3 linked regions of the Oryzias latipes genome follow. The protein of the gene in region 3 interacts with the protein of the main gene of each other region in a pairwise test. Links are inferred from orthologs where the notes say so. Each region holds a gene or a part of one and is shown on either strand. Other genes may lie near its edges.

What was found. The genes of interacting proteins can lie anywhere in the genome.
Region 1: the proteins of protein transport protein Sec23A (region 3) and homeobox protein Hox-A3a interact in binary tests that used the Homo sapiens proteins (3 or more experiments, as listed by UniProt). The two-hybrid records come from large-scale screens. The link is inferred for Oryzias latipes from reciprocal best matches to the Homo sapiens genes SEC23B and HOXA3.
Region 2: the proteins of protein transport protein Sec23A (region 3) and prrc1 interact in binary tests that used the Homo sapiens proteins (3 or more experiments, as listed by UniProt). The two-hybrid records come from large-scale screens. The link is inferred for Oryzias latipes from reciprocal best matches to the Homo sapiens genes SEC23B and PRRC1.

The regions. Positions count from the first base shown.
Region 1 is NC_019869.2:11,344,499-11,350,249, forward strand, and holds the start of homeobox protein Hox-A3a, read right to left. Parts: upstream 3,316-5,751; 5' UTR 3,185-3,315; intron 1-3,184. UniProt on the Homo sapiens protein: Sequence-specific transcription factor which is part of a developmental regulatory system that provides cells with specific positional identities on the anterior-posterior axis.
Region 2 is NC_019882.2:18,550,853-18,556,768, reverse strand, and holds the start of prrc1 (protein PRRC1), read right to left. Parts: upstream 3,316-5,916; 5' UTR 3,272-3,315; intron 220-3,271; 5' UTR 199-219; coding exon 123-198; intron 1-122. UniProt on the Homo sapiens protein: May act as a regulator of the protein kinase A (PKA) activity during embryonic development.
Region 3 is NC_019859.2:30,190,281-30,195,428, reverse strand, and holds the end of protein transport protein Sec23A, read right to left. Parts: intron 4,282-5,148; coding exon 4,123-4,281; intron 4,043-4,122; coding exon 3,927-4,042; intron 3,850-3,926; coding exon 3,726-3,849; intron 3,641-3,725; coding exon 3,560-3,640; intron 3,484-3,559; coding exon 3,394-3,483; intron 3,276-3,393; coding exon 3,169-3,275; intron 3,046-3,168; coding exon 2,892-3,045; intron 2,755-2,891; coding exon 2,677-2,754; intron 2,574-2,676; coding exon 2,412-2,573; intron 2,326-2,411; coding exon 2,239-2,325; intron 2,159-2,238; coding exon 1,937-2,158; intron 1,328-1,936; coding exon 1,238-1,327; 3' UTR 875-1,237; downstream 1-874. UniProt on the Homo sapiens protein: Component of the coat protein complex II (COPII) which promotes the formation of transport vesicles from the endoplasmic reticulum (ER).

The DNA.
Region 1 (5,751 bases), on a different chromosome or scaffold from region 3:
TACTTTAAAGAGCAGATTTTGACAGTGCTAAGGCGCTTGGACACTTAATAACACAATCAAACTAATGAGAGAATTTGAAGCAAAGGAGGACAAAAAATCTTGGTTAATAAAAAATAAAGTAATAGATTACCAAATCAGTATACTTTGTTTTATGACTAAAGTGTGACAGAACATTTTACTATCACTTAAGGCCCAACAAAGCAACAGAATGCAGCCTTTGATGTGTTACAAACTTATTACAAAGAGTTAAATGTTTACACAAAAAGGTGCATTGAAATGTAAAATATTACATTTTAATCCCATCAGTAAATTCTGTACTTTGTAGGCTTTTAAAAACTGGGAAAATCTGGATCACAAACAAATAAACATTTTTTGTCCCAAATAAAAGATTTAAAAAATGTAATAGTTATTGTGATGTGGAACATTTCAGTATGTTTGTATTTTTTCCATTTATGTTTTATTCTAATTTGCATTGTAATAAAAAAAGTTTTAACTTTCATTTTTGTATATTTCATTTTTACAAATGTTTGACATTTAACATGTTCCTTGTTATCATTTTTATTTTAAGACAATATTTAACATCTCCCTTGTTATCATTTTTATTTTAAGACAATATTTATTTTTTCCAGAGCCAATTTTAAAGGTTCACTTTTTTAAATGTATTTATTTTCGTTTGTCAAAAGGGAAAAGGCCTCATGAGACAAAAAAATAGTATTACTGAATCAAATATGTTTGTGCAGAAATATCTTCTGACATTTTTTTCTAAAATAACCAAAACATCTGGGACATTCCTCTTTTTAAAAGGCTTCTATTGAGCTGAACAGGAAGAAAGGGGCTAAACGATTTTTAAGGGATCCGGGGGCTCATTTAGGGGGCTGTGGGCCTTCCCAATACTCTGACAGGGTCGAGAGTATCAATCCTCAAAATGCAAATTTTGCCCTGGTCCCTAAACATATCAAATGCAATTTATTCAAAGGAAATTCACCAATCAACCTCCCTAATAAAACGCAAGCCACTCAATCTTGTTGCCCCCCCCCCGGTCCCAAACGCGAGGTCATCGCGCTTCCAGGGTTCACCTGGAGTGCACCGTGCAACATATGTAATGCAAAGCTATTCTGCCTTTTGTGTGGAGAGTCAAGATCCCTATTATAAAGCTGGCATCAGGCTCTGAGTGAACAGATGACTGAGACTTGTTCAGTGCGTAAACTTTTGACCCCAATTTTTCCTCCTCTTCTGCTGCTATCTCGCTCTCATCAGCCCCAGCCCGGAGAGATGTCTGCCATGCCTCCCCTTCCTCCCCACCATCACCTCTCCTCCACATGAGAAAAGTTGATTCTAACAACGTGTACATCTCTTTGTGCGACAATGATCGTTTTCACAAATTTGATAAGATGCCAGCAAAAAGATGCGATCGTCTTTTAGTGAGGTTTCCAAACACAGAAAAGAGAAATGGATCCAACCCAGGAGCGGCAGAACCATAAAATATGCAAATCACTCATTTAAGTCGGAGCAACCAAAAGAGTTTGTTGGAGAAAACAGTTTTTTTTTTCATCTGGTAGCGCTGTCTGTTCTAAAAGTGCTAGTATGTCCTGGGGTTCATTATTGCGCATCTTTTTTAATCCACAAAATACACATGAAGACGCACGCTGCTATCTGTTCACGTGCGCGTACTATTGCCTTTTTGCTGCAGTGACAGTGAACTTGGCCTAAAGCGAGCTCTGCTGGTGGCTCCGAGAGGATGCAGATTTATCTTGCTGCTGCGGCTGACCTCCCGATGAACCTGCGCAGCCTCCCTTCTCTATCTGCCGGCAATGCGCGGCACATGGGGCCCTGTCGAAACGTCTCCCTCTGAAATATTGGCAAAAGGGTTCCAGTTCCAACTATTTGCACACATGGAACATCCTGTTTCATTAGGGCTCAAACTTCATCCTAAAGGGTTGAATTCTGCTTGTTAGGATCGTTGATGAAAAATATCGTAAAGCAAAGATGCTCAAAATTCAAACCTGTTTGGCTATTTAGTGAGTTTTTTGATTAGAGAATAAATTTAAACCATTTCAAGATACACAAAAAAACACATCTGGATCTTGAATCAACTCAGATTTTCATTTTCCACCCACCATTTGAACATTTTAACAGATAACTTTGGTGGTGGGTGTTTTTTTCCGTTAATTTTGATTCTAAAAATGTATTTAAAAAAGGAGAAATCCCTCGTCAAAATAAAGCCATTACATTCAAAAAGTTTTTCCGATTTGGTTATCCTTTTACTATTCCAAAATATAACGTTAAAGAAATGTTCAGTTTTTTTTAAACCTTTTTGTGCGCATTTGGGTTGAAAAAGGATGCGCATAGACAAAACGTCTCCTGGTGTAACGCTAGCAAATATGCTAAGAGATATTACAAACGTTTCTGGACAAATATTTTTGCACAACTTATGCCTTTGTCCACTCGCGCTTTTGTTACCTATGTCCGCTGGTGGCCGGCTTTGCCCCTGGCCGCGCGGACAAGAGGTCACCACAAAGCGAGAGTGAGTTTTTGAGATGTCATTTGAACTTTTCAACCTCAAACACAATAAGACTGGCTCGACACAAAAGGGAATTCCTTTCAAACATTTCCCTTCTGCTGTTTCATCCGTGTTGTGTTTACTCGACACTGTTTACAGCCAACCCCGAAATCCACAGCCTTTCACCCACAGCCAACTCACAGCCAACATGTGCAGCGCGCGACAAAGCTACTGCCAACTTTATCCGCGCCTGAAAAGTCGCTGACAATCACTAAACAATCCCTTCTTGCGGTCTGCAGATCTGCAGGCCTGTGGCAACGCGCATCTTCTCCCACACTCCAAGCAACTTTTTGCCTCATGCTCTGTGAACTCTCCAATGTAATAAAACGACAAGTTTGCGGGGGTGGAAATGGACACAGAGATAATTATCCAACATGTAAAAATGGATTATGAGTTACACCACAGATGGAAGAGAGCCAGTTACGCAGGGAAGGAAGCAATTAAATAGCCACGAGCCGAACCCAACCCTGTGCAACATCTGCCCAGACCAGTATGCAGCACTCCACAACTGACAAATTAGTATAATAGACTAATAGGGACGGATAGATGGAGCGAGTACAATAATACGACTGTTTAACACGGGATAGCTGTTCCCAGGCTACCGACCAATCTGCAGAAACTCACCCAGGGACGCGCTCCCCATCCTACAAAGCGTCCGGTCCACGCTGGCGCAGCTTGCGCCACGAAAAAAAGCTCTGAACCGGTCAAGTATCGCTTCCAGCGTGCAAAGGGAGACTCAGACGAAGCTTCGCCTTCCGTGCGATTATATGTTATGTGCAATATACTGTCAACTCCCCAAAACCATAAAACTTACTTTAATGGCTACCACGTGACCGTTTATGGCCAGTGAGCCTATCTGGCCGGTCTCCGGATGATTTTTACGATCTAATTCATAGACAAAACCCCCATTCATTTAGCACCTAAATGTCAGGGAGCCAGAATCAACCCCTTAATAAAGTTTACAGCCAGAAAAGTCGAGCTGATTCTTCGAGAACATAGGACACGAGTCTGCTTGGGGACGCACGGCCCTCGAAGCCTTACACGCACACAGGGCAAGGTGAGTCAAAGCATGATTCCAAGTGAAACCTGTTGATTTAACTTAAGAAATTAGAAATTTTTGAAACACCAAAACAACAACAAAACTTTACAAAAACTCACAATGAAGTTTTCATTCCAGTAAAAACTTTATTATCGCGGCCATCACAGCCATTTTTACCAAGACCATCTTTATTCTTATAGCATATTTTGACTTCCAGTCTTTAAGAGGGAACAAAAATAATAACATTTCCAAAAAAGCTTGGCACGATGAAGTTTTACACACAGGCACAGGGATTTACCGTGGGACCGTCCACACAGAAAACAGCGAGACAAAAGCACGTTTCTTTACTAAGATGCTGCGCCCAGGTGAACACCTCAAACACAAAGCTGCTGGGAAAACAAAGAAAAACAAGGCACAGCTACTGTACACACAAGGGTGAGGCGGCATGCACCTCTGCCCACACATGTGCTCACAGCGACTACCACACAAAGGCTTTTTTATGCTGGTTCTACATCTGGAAGCTGATTTTTGTACAATACATCAAACCAATAAATACACACATTTTTACAGTAAATACAGAGAAATCCAGGCTGAACGCAAACCTTCTGGCGAGCTTGCTTTGTCACAGAAATATCTGCAATAGTTTGCACCACTTTCATCGCTTTTTCTTTTATTTTCCAGCCTGGACAAAAACAATAATTTAAAAAAAACATGTATTTCCACGTATTCTTTTTTTCCCCTAAAACTAGACAATACTGTACAGAATCCACATAAGCATTAACTCGATGAAGGGTTAAAGAAAATTATATTTAGGAATATAATGGAGACTTTTTCTGGACATGGAGAAGTTGGGGTGCCCCCTGCCCCGGCTGCACAGTCAACAAGTCTTTTTTTTCCTCAAAAGTGAAAGAAGGGTTGATATGGCAATTTCTGTTTTTAATTTTTTTTTTTTTTGCATTTATTTTTTGTACGTGCTCTTCATTATCTGGAGGGAGATCACGGCCTGTAGGCTCCCCCGCCTGCAGCCGCCATGCTCATGCTTTTCAGTTTGTTGTCCTTCTTCCACTTCATCCTGCGGTTCTGAAACCAGATTTTGATCTGTCTCTCTGAGAGGCAGAGGGCGTGCGCGATCTCGATCCTCCGTCTGCGGGTCAGATACCGGTTAAAGTGGAACTCTTTCTCCAGTTCCAGGGTCTGGTACCGGGTGTACGCGGTTCTGGCCCTTTTGCCTTCAGGTCCGGAGATATCTTGATGCGTGAAAAAGGGAGGAAAACATTTCAATCACCAAAGACTTTTACAATAAACAAAAACAATTTCTGCTGCTTGAACTTATACAAATTCATTTTATTATAAATATGATTAAGTGAAAATGAAAATATTTCCTCAATAAAATCATAAACAAAAGTTAAAAATAAAAAAAGGAAAGTTCACGAGCAAAAAATAACTAACATTTAAATCCTGAGATTTGGCTAGCTAATTAAAAAAGTGGAGAACATATTAAGCATTTTTAGAGATTGATTTAATCATTTAAGGTTACATTTAGCGTTGCATGGTGTAAATATAAATTGTCTCGTACTTGGACAAAAGTGAATCCAAACTATCAAACAGGTGAGATGGTGCATTTTGGCGCCATTTGCTTTTCACGTGAAAACCATAATTTTGGATTTGCAAACCATCATGCCATGCAAATATATTTCATTTTGCCTTGCTATACGATGCAACGCTTCCTAAATGACTCAGTAATGACCTGCTATTTAACAAAAACCAGCTTGTTATTCAATGAAAACGTTTACCGTGGCTGATGTGGAGTTTTCTCATCCACGGATATATCTGAGGCTGTGCTGAGTCGCTGGCATTTTGAGGAGTTGATGGTGCGCTTCCTGCAGCCTTTTCGTCCTCCAGAGGGGAAGCTTTGGACACACAGTCCCGACTAAGCAGCAGCGCACCTCCGTTGGAGCTGGAGCACTGGGCGGCCGAGGAATTCTTGACGGGTCTGTGTTGGGATTGCGCCTCGGCGACCGGGGACGAGCTGGCGACCGACGAGCAGGGAAGAGGGTCAGGCGGGGGTGACAGAGAAGAGTTCCCAGCGCTGCTGGTGGACTGACTGTGGCTGTATCTCACGGGCTCCACCGAGGCTGACGTCGCCGCCGAG
Region 2 (5,916 bases), on a different chromosome or scaffold from region 3:
GTTAATGAAGGTGCAGGAAAACAACTGTGTAAAATAACGACACTGTTCAGAAGTGTGTAACTGCACACAAAGCAATAAAGAAGTTCTTGAAAGTTTGTCCAGTAGAAAGACAGACGTCTTACCGGAGGCTGAGGCTCCGCTGACGGCAGCACTCAGGTTCTCCAGAGGTCTCGTCTCAATCCCACTTTCCTGCATCATTTTCTCAGCTTTATTCCTGCACTGCAACAAAGGAATTATGGGATGTTAAGGTAAAAGTATCAACTGGTTCATTTATTCTACAAACATTTTCCCTGTTCATCCCTACAACTTGGGGAAAATCTAAAAGACTTTGATGCATTTAGAAATAAAGATCACAAGCCATGAATGGGTTACTTTGGGAAAACTGGGTCAAAGGTCGCAAAAGGTAAAGGTGTTCAAGGCAGACGGACGCCTCTCAGCTCAGTATTTTTGCAGTTAGAATAAAAACGTATACCACTGTCCGTTTAGCTGTTAGAATCCAAATCTACCACCAGTTAATGATTTACTAAAATAAATTCTTAAACTGTTTCATTCATATCTATTTTCCATGATTTAATTTGGGAATATTAAACATTTTTAAAACAAGCCCAATATTTTCTATAATCTAAAAAATTAAAACTTAAAAATAATTCTAATTTTCTATTTCTTTGGAGTTACTGATGTTAAATAATTCATTAAGTGATATGTGGGAGGGGTAATTAGCAACATGAGAAACTTGCTTTGGCATTTTCCTATTTGCTCACAAAGAAATAAACATCCGTCTGTCAAAATCTTCTTTAAAAGTTGGGGCTAAAAAAAACAAATGTCCAAATTTTCGTCATTTCCGTATTTTCAATCGTTATATTTATGCTGTAGATTTAATCTATTTTTCATCCTCTTTCATATTGAACACAGCACTGCACTTTAACAGCTAAACTTAATAAAAACTGTTAAAACAAATGTAATAAATAACGAAAACATGGAAAACAATAAAAACTTGAGATTTAAAATAACAGTAAAATCTCACGTGGGACCAAATGCTTGGCTATAAAAATGAGTCCCACGTTTTATAACTGGACATTGAACGCTTGTCTAATATTTAGATAGAAACGGCTCTGCCCCCCCTACACGTCCTTCTGGACCTCAGTGATCAGCTGACCAGAAACGCCAGACGGGGGTCAGCTGATCACTGAGACATTAAAAAACAAAGGAACCTTAAAGTGAACTCTAAAGGCCCGTTCATACCGGGACGATTTTCGCTGACGTTTAACGCCTCGTGACTAAACAAAGGGCACCAATGAGAGTGTGCACACCGACGCGAAAAAACGCCACGCGTCAAAGCGTCAAAAAAAAAAACCTGCCTCGGGTTTGTTTGTTTTTTTCGACGCGTTGCGTCGAAATCTATTCGACCAATGAGAATGGCGCTTTTTCACACATGCCTGGAGCTTCTGAAGTTACAGTAAAACACAACTTGGGGGCGCTCAAACACAAAACTGCCTTGCTGAGCACACATGCCAGCGAAGAAGATAGACGCCGAGTAGCGTCTACACAGCAAGAAATAATGACGGACATTCTAAAATATCCCCGAACCAAGCACCAGTTGGAGCTACTGGTGCTTGAAATATTCATGTTTTCTTTGTATTATTCTGACAAGCGCGTAAATACTTGCTCTCTTCTTCTGAGTGAAAAGCGACTTTAAGAAGCCTAAGGTTGCGCAGCGCCACCTTGTGTACAGGAGTATTTCTGTTTTACATTAAGCGCCATCTAATGTCAGGGAATGAAATTGCATGTTCGCTCGGCTCATCGTCAGCGAAAATCGCCTGGGTGTGAACACAAAAAACATGTTGAAAGACGCTGGCGAATAACGCCTGGCGAATATTCGTCCCGGTGTGTACGGGCCTTTACATGAACCAGAACCGGTGTGGACCCTCTTCCACGTTTGGACCAGGACACGAGCAGCGGTGTCAGGGGGGCTGACCTCAAATGTTACGAAATCCAGCTGGGATGTGATGACGTAACGGATCAACTGCTTTTTCTCTAGTGAATCGCCTCAGCTGGAAGAAGCTGGACTTTACCAGCGAGCTGACGAGAGTCCAGCTGAAAATCTCTGTTCTAAAACAGACGTGGAGCCGACGGCCCAAACCCGCTATGGAGGCGTCACAGGAGCCCCTCCCACAAACACAATCAAGAAAACAGCAGAGTTATTGATTAGGAGGGTCAAATTATCGTTTTTTTCTTCCGTTAATTTGACTTCTGTGTTCATGTCTGATAGCATTATCCTGCTCTTCTCACAGTCATTTAGGAAAAATAGAAATATTAAATCAGTTGATAGAACTTTGATGCTGTTTTTTTCAACATTAAAAAAATTTCCACAAAAAGCAGCCCATCGACACGGCAGTGCGTCTTTAATAATTAAAGAGTTAGAATCTTATTTACATACTATTTCTAATAGTTTAAACAAAAAGGCCATACATGTTTATGAAAACTGTCTGTCTTTGAATATTTTCAATTCATAGCATCTGTAATCTTTTTGTAATACATGTACCACCCCCTGACATTGTTGTTGTTATGACTATTGTTCCTGTCATACTTATTGTTCTAATTGTGTTGAATAATAAAGTTTATTGAAAAAAAGAAAAGAATGAAGCAGTAACTAACAGGCGGGCTAAACAATTTTTTTTATTACTTTGTGTCAGAATAATTCCTATATAGGATGAATAAATACATTTAGAAATCTTTTTTAAGTGAAAGAGGCATTTGATTTTGTGTCATAAAAAGCTTTTTAAGGTTAAAAAAATGTTTTTGCAGGTCTAAAAAGTCAAATAAAGAAGAAGAAATGTTCTCTTTTTGTGCAATGTAAATTTCTTGTAAACATTATTATTTTTAACAAAAATTTATTGTTTGATTTTACAATTAAAGTGTACAATTCTACAAAAAACAGTTTGTGCAGGTCTCTACTTTAGGGTGAAAGAGGCGCAGATCGGCTGCTTTAAGGCCCGGTTCTGCCGCAGAAGTTCAGACCCGCTGGTTTCCTTTAACAATGAAAACAGACTCTGATCTCAGCCTCATAAATTAAGTTTTAAAAATGTCACAAGTGAGAGTTTTAAGTCCTTTGACGTCCCAGTCTAGTTCTAGGAAACAGGGAGATCCAGAACCGGTTCGGCCGCTGCGCAGATCCATTTCACGAGAACCGATTGTACAAACCCGCTCTGGTAAAGAAATCATGAACAGATATAATTATCCTGACGAAACGAAGAACAACGCTGTCACCTACCAGCTAGCTCCGACGCGGGCTGATGACGTAGTGCCACGTCTGCCACACTGTCTGAGACGATATGCGTGGACGCAACAAAAAAAACAACAGTCTACGCAGAAACCCGTTTTTTTTAACAAAACTTTATTGTGAACAACATGTAAAAGGAAACACAAGGACAGTGCATTAAAAACCAGAGGTTTACCATATAAATATGTATTTAAATGCAGTTCCTTTAAAAATAAAATGTTCTTGAAACCTTCAGATTTTAAATGTTCTTTTGTTTTGTAACATGATTTAAGTAAATGTGACCATTTACACTCATGAACGTGAAATTTGCCTAAAATAATTACCAATTAAATAACAAAATTGAATTTCATGAACAAACCATATGATTCAAAATACAACATGATCTCAAAAATATGAATTCTTATATTTACATTCAGTTTTTTTTTTTTTATAATTAAGTCTTCAACATCCCACCAAAGTCTTCTGGTGTAAAAACTGTAAAAACAATAATCTACTGGACAAAAACCTCCAGACTCATCTATGTTTATATAATCTCCTCCATTTAATTTTACTGGATACATTTGATGTAATATTTTATATGAAACTTCTTTTAGTTTATTATCAACACAGTTATTGTAGATAGTGGTATTTGCTTTTCCCCAGGTTTATTACCAAAACAATTTACTGCAGAAGGACCTGGGGCCTGTTGCACAAAAGTAGGATACGGGATTAAGCCAGGATATCTTGGTGATCCTGGCTCAATTGATCCCCAATCCGGTTGCACTAAAGCTGGATAGGGGGCAGGAGGATATGTTATGGTATAAATTACCATGGAGATTTATTCTGTGGAGCTAGCCTGCTCCAGACCAGGCTAAATTCCAGGATCTATTTAATCACATCCCTAATGTCAGTCAGCAGTCGCCACAAATGGAAACCAATAGTTATTTCACTGCTCACTATACATTGTTATCACATATAACTAGACCCGCTGTCATTATTTAAACGTTCGTGATCATTAATTTCAATCATTTTGGATAAATAATGAGTTTTAGATGATGTTGCTATCATTAGATAATTTACAGTTTCCCATAGACTATAAGGCTATATATAAAATGATAGAATATTAGGGCCACAGAGCGGAAAAAAAAGACAAGTCATAATATTGTAACCAGTTGTTTTAAAGGAGGACAGTTGTTAAAATGACAGATGTGGGGCATTTCGTGAAATTGTCCTTCAGTATGGTTTCATAAACGAAGACATGCTGATGTGCCAGAATATGAAGTATCACATTGTCATAACTATCAGAACTGTAAAAAGAATATGTTGTTTTCTGCAGAAAAGCAACAGTTTCATAAATTGATGACTTTATCCTTTTTCCTCAGTGGGGCCCTAGTACTCTGTCATATAAACAAATACACATTCCATATGAATATAAAAACACAATGTGTACCATTATGTTCCTTTATTGAATAAGGACAAAACAAAGCAGGTAAACTATCAGCTCCTTTCGAAACTGAAGTCACAGTGACTCTACAAGATGGAAAGCACAGAATCAAAGCATATTATACAAAATGATACATACACATTCAAAGGTCTGTACATAACACACCCTGCATGTCTGCACACTAAAATAAATGCAGGACAAATTTATTCCTGTACTGAATGTCTACGTCTACCAGTTCTATTTGGCGCCGGAGGTGGTTGCCATACATCTTTCTGATAGCTTTTGAGCTCTGTGAACACAATACAATTAGCGCAGCTGGAATTTGGCAGGATGTGGTGTCCTTTTATTAATACGCACTATGTTGCCAGGCTGGTTTTCCCACTATATAGCATCTGGGTCCTGTAAAAGAAATTAGACTTTTGGATTTGGATGAGGACACCTCACCATTGTAGAGTGAAAAGTACTTTCACAGTCTTAACATGATACCTCATGCCTTCTGGAATCCAGAGTGATGGTCTCCTCCTCCTCATCGTCTCCATCATGTGCTGTTGCTGCTGCACTGGGGCTTTCACCCTATCACATTTAGTCGGATATTGAAGCTAGTAGACAAGACATGCCAGGCCTACAGTCTGCCTTTGATGGAGTACTCACTGGATCAGCATAGTCTGGTGCTTGTGCTGGTGGCTCTAACAGGAACACAGTGCTGCCAGACACTGCAAGGCAATAGGTAAACCGGGGTCAGACAGTCCAAACTGATTCAATATGAATGTGGTTGTATTCCATGTAGAGATGGAAGGACATACCTTGAATGAAGCGGGTGGCATCTTGGGAGGAACCTATGCTCGTCTCTTTCTCCCCAGGGATCCCCTCGAAGACGGGCCTGCCTTTATTTAGCTCCAAGGCCATGTCCTCTGCTGGGGTAAGGTCAGCCTTTGGTGACCCACCACCCGTGCCTTGTCTGTGGGTATTCTTTTTCACTGCTAAAACTGTACAGACGATGTGTGAGCAGGCACCTTCTGGGTACAATATATGCTTGTGCTTGTTAAATATTAGTCAGTTCGTTGCTCACCCACAGGAAAAAACCTCCACGGGTGCTCCTCTTACCTCAAGTCTGCTCATTCACTGGCTGTGAATTAAATCCCTCATACTTACCAGACGATTCTTTGAGTTTTCTTCCGGGTTTTCAGCATTTGGGTCTGCTAAGTCTCACGAG
Region 3 (5,148 bases):
GACTCACTGAACTCCTGTGCAAAAGCTTGATGTAAACTGCAGAATGTGTGAAGAAAAGTGCTGCTTTTTGGTATTGTGCACATGATGCGTGTAAAAAAAAACCTCCAAAGTTGTCATGCTGCATCTTGTGAGTTTCTCCTGGAGCATATGTGGCTTCAGAGCGCGGCACAGTGAGGCCTAAGCTCTTCATCGTCGCCGTAGACCTCATTTCTATTTCTGCTGCAAGTTCTGCTTAAAGCTGATAAGAGTAGAATTTGCCTTTTAACACGTAGCCCTGAAGGATTAGTCTTCATAATCTGTCACTCACTGATCCTCGAAATCATACTGTCTGCTCTGGAATCAGCTTACAGTGATGCCTGCCGCCGCCTGTTTTGATTGTGTGTCATGTGGGCTTTACATCTGCAACCAAAGCCAAGGAAACATCGCCATTGTTTGGGGATATTGTTGCCTTCATGCAGTGTTGTGACAAAATGTTGCAATCTCTTCCTCACAGCAGTTTCTGTTGCGGTCAAAAGGACAGAGAAGCTGCTCTCCATCTGCTGCTTTTACAAAACAAGTGGATTTTTAGGAGGAATCTCGGCCTCAAAGCATAGACTGCTTGCTCTATGTTAGCAGCTCTCTGTACGCGCTTCATGGAAAAACTGGTCCCTTCTTCAGCCTCCTTTGATTACAAAGACAACAAAGATCACCGAGGGCAAAACAGCAGATGGTCATCGAGCAGAAAATGAACCCAAACGGAAGACAAGCAGCCTCAGCTCTCAGCTGATTGCCTGCAGACATGATCCTTGGTAAGCTGGAATCTTCCTGGAAAACACTGGAAGTATGGTCCTTGAAGGAACTTTAATGTCCGTCAAATGAAGGAGTAATCATTAGATTGAGGGAGCATTCGAGATGCAATCATAATTTATTTGTTCAAAAACATTCTACATATCATTTTCAGCTATGGACAAAGCAAACATACTCAGCAGACACTCATTTAAGACAAACATCAGTCTGGTCGCTCCAGACTTTCAGAGACACCTTTGTTAGCTTCATACACTCACATAAATATGTTTTCCTCTATGAAAATGTATTTCTTTACAGGAACCTTGTTATGGACCCCACAGGCCACAATAGAACAAAGTGAGAATCGATTTAGTACAAACAGACGACTGTGTGAGTCTGGCTCGTTCACAAAAATCAGGGAAATGTCGATGGATCCTGAAAGCTGAACGGGAATGTGGCGTTCCTCTTGTGTTTACGCCGAGCTGGAAACTGCCAGCTTCTTCAGGTGGTCCATAAAGACCTGCAAGCTGACGTCGTCGGTCAGGATGGGAGCCCCCGACTCCTGCAGGAAGAGAGGAAAACACGTCAACTCCAAAGCAAACACCACGATCCACGGCAGGAAGGGAGCAGAAATCCCACAACCCCCACAGGCATCCAGAGGATTCCTAACATCTTCCAGACTTTTGGTTGACCAAGCCCAGACAGGATCCGTGAATGCTTGGGCCTCGGCAGACGTTTGACGCATCCGTTTGAATTCAACGAGGAAGCTAAACCTTCACTGTCACACTCAAGTCTGTTTTTTCCAAAGATATCCCATTTACAATAAATAATTCCCAAAAGCCTTTTTCCTCAGATGTGGCTTTTGAACATCAATTTTAAAAACAACATTAAATGGTCTCCATGCGCTTTTAGGCTCATCTCTTGACCGTCTTTTTTCGAATTGACCTCTGAGGTTTTTTGTTTTGTCCTCCTTTTTGTTTGTTTTTAACTTCTCCAGTCATCTCAGCTTTAATTGAGTCACCTGCGAGCTTTACCATCGACTTCTGCCATCGGCTTTCATTTCTGGCTCTGTTTCAAATATGTTCAGGATCCAAAGACACCCGGAAGCCCCGCCCCCTCTGACGAAGTGTAAAGCCTTAGACAAACAGATGTGTGTGCCGTGAGCGCGCACCTGTCCCCACGCGTAGAGGTTGTTGTGCGTCTGTGATGGGTTGACTTTGGAGAGCAGGAAGCGTGCCTGCGAGCCGCCGTGCTCAGTGTTGATGTAACGCGGCATGGGGAAGCGTGTCTCCAGGATATCGTTGGCATCGTCCTGTGGAGCCTTGAGGAGCTGCTTGAAGTTCTGGTACTCGGGCATTTCCTGGTAGCCCGCCTTCTGCCACTGTGCAATAGTCTGTAAAACAAAACACACACGCTGTAAGTCTAACGCTGTGCTAGTTTGAGCAAAATGGAAGCTGAAGGACAAGGTCCCACCTCTCCGTTGTAGATGACCAGCTGAAAGAATGTGTCCATCAGCAGGATGCGGTCCGGCAAGATGCTGCTGCTGTCCAGGAGCACGGGCTGTGAGAAGACAGGGTCACAGGGTCAGGACTGGAACAGAAGCCCCGGTGGGAGACTTACGGATGGGTGGGGGGAGCGAGGCTGACCTCTGGTGGTCCGTGGAAGGAGTACGAGTACAGGATGGGCTGAATCATGATGAGGGACTGGGTTAGGTCCTGCCTGGTGAAGTGATGCCTGTAGTAGGACGACTCATCGGGGCTGTTGTTGAACACCTGCAGGAAGGGCGACCTCCGCAGGTGGAACATGAACTGCAGGGGGAGGGACAACAAACGTAAACGCTGGTAATGGAAAAACCAACCAGACCCAGTGTGAGCCTGTTTACCACCAGTGGCCACTAGAGGGCGGACTTACCTGTGGGTACAGAGACAGGGACTCGGAAAGCCTAAACGATGTGGGATCTTCTTTGTTGTACTGCCCAAACTTCTGACACTGAGGGATGAAACGTTGCTTGAATACCCAGCATTCCAATCACAATAACATCAAATACCAGCATGAAGGCGGGGCCGCTGCTTCAAAGCCTCAGCTATGACAGATATGCATCCTCATTCTTGAGCAGAATTACTCACCAGGCGAATCAGCTGCCTGTCCAGCCAGCGAAGCACATCGGGGCCCTCTTCTGACTCCGCCCTGAAGACCCCCAGGCGAGCCATGAGCACGGCGGCCGCCTCTTGGTCAAACGAGGACTCAATGTGCTGAATCTGAGACTGCGCATCGGCCCAGCTTAGGGAGGGGGGCAGAAAGAGGCAGGAATGAATACAGGTGTGCCTGTGTCGATACAGGTGTGTCGACGTTGACCCAGTTTGAAATCACCTGAAAATGATTAGGAATTTAAAAGATTCTTACTTCCTGGTGATGGTGGTGACCCGTATCCTCTTCTGAGTGTTGGAATGCTGATACTGCGTGACAAACTGGATGGCCCCTCTGCCCCCCTGGGGGATGGGAGCGTTGTGCTACAAAAGACAAAACAGAAAAACCCAGTTTGACCTCATTCCTGCCTTTTAGTGCAGAGAATCCAGATCAGTTCAGCTCTCATCCTGAAATGAGCTTCATGATCAAAGAGACGTTTACCTGATTCACAACTTCAAGGTAAATGCCCAAAGTAGAGGAGGGGGTGAGGCTGCACATCTTCCACTGGTTTGTTCCCCCAATGCCCATCTCCTACAGAAAACAAACACTGATGAGTGACAGCTCAGGGTGAGGGAGGGGTCCACAGTGTAACGTGGGAGGGGCTCACATTCTCTGAAACATAGGGTCCCTTTGAGTTGAGGGAAACGCAGGGTCCGATGGCGCCGCAAACCTTCAGTTCTCTGGATGTCTGTAAAGAGACAGCTGGCGTCAGCTCCTCTGACGGACGGGAAACATTCTGCCAGGAAACGACGGCGAGCAAGCGACCTCTTTACCTTGATCTCCAGAACGCCACCAAAGGCCATGCGGAAGTCTCCGTTGTGGTCCTTACTGAAGACTCCCTGGAAGGTTTGTGTGAAGAGCGAGGTGTTGAAGGAGTCTCCCATGACGATGTGGCCGCTAAAAGAGACACAAGCTTTATTGCCCCCGCTCAGGGTAGAAGGTTGGACGCTGGCAGACGGTGAGAGTGGACGTACCCGGTGAGATTGGACAAACACTTCATCTCCAACAGTCCGGTCTGATCCAGAGCGCAGGCGTAGATGTCGATGGAGTGGCCGTTGGCCGCCGACCTGTTGCCCAGAGCCTCGTAGAACTGTGGAGCATCAAGAAACGTCAGGAGACGAAGGGACTCGTTTTCCCCAAAAAGAAGAAAAGCTCTTGAGCTTTTGTCACCTTTGTGGCTTTCTTTAAGTGTCGTGCGTTGTCTTTCTGGATGTCGTGCCAGGAGCGGATGGGAATCTTCAGCTCGTCCCCCACCACCATGCCCGGACCCTGGGTGGGCGGCCCGCCAACAAAGAGCATCACGCGAGCCCCCGTGTTGGGGAACGTACCCTGAAGGTGAGACGGGAGCAGATTTAAGTCCTCCGCCTGCTGCTTCACATCACAGATTTGACTCCAGTTGGAGCAGCATTCTTATAGAACGTGACACGTTTGTGATTCCAAACATTGTTCAACGACATTCCTCTGCTCTGGACTTGCGAAGAATGCAGCTGAAAGGGAGGCAGCTACAAAGCAGGCAAAAGCCGACGACAGCGCAGGAGTCTGGGACAACAGTCCCGTTCTACAGCGCAGGAGTTTGGGACAACAGTCCCGTTTTACAGCGCAGGAGTTTGGGACAACAGTCCCGTTCTAAAGCGCAGGAGTCTGGGACAACAGTCCCGTTTTACAGCGCAGGAGTTTGGGACAACAGTCCCGTTCTAAAGCGCAGGAGTCTGGGACAACAGTCCCGTTTTACAGCGCAGGAGTCTGGGACAACAGTCCCGTTTTACAGCGCAGGAGTTTGGGACAACAGTCCCGTTCTACAGCGCAGGAGTTTGGGCAAACAGTCCCGTTCTAAAGCGCAGGAGTCTGGGACAACAGTCCCGTTCTAAAGCGCAGGAGTCTGGGACAACAGTCCCGTTTTACAGCGCAGGAGTTTGGGACAACAGTCCCGTTCTAAAGCGCAGGAGTCTGGGACAACAGTCCCGTTCTACAGCGCATGAGTTTGGGACAACAGTCCCGTTCTACAGCGCAGGAGTCTGGGACAACAGTCCCGTTCTAAAGCGCAGGAGTTTGGGAAAGTACAGCACAGAGTGGTTTGATGCTCCACACCAGCAGAGATTTCACACAGAAGAGAGGAAAGCAGGTTTCTGCTGCTCGGACTCAGGGAAGGAGAAGAAATCAGCACATATCAGCCCCTGGCTGATGAAGACTTTAGCG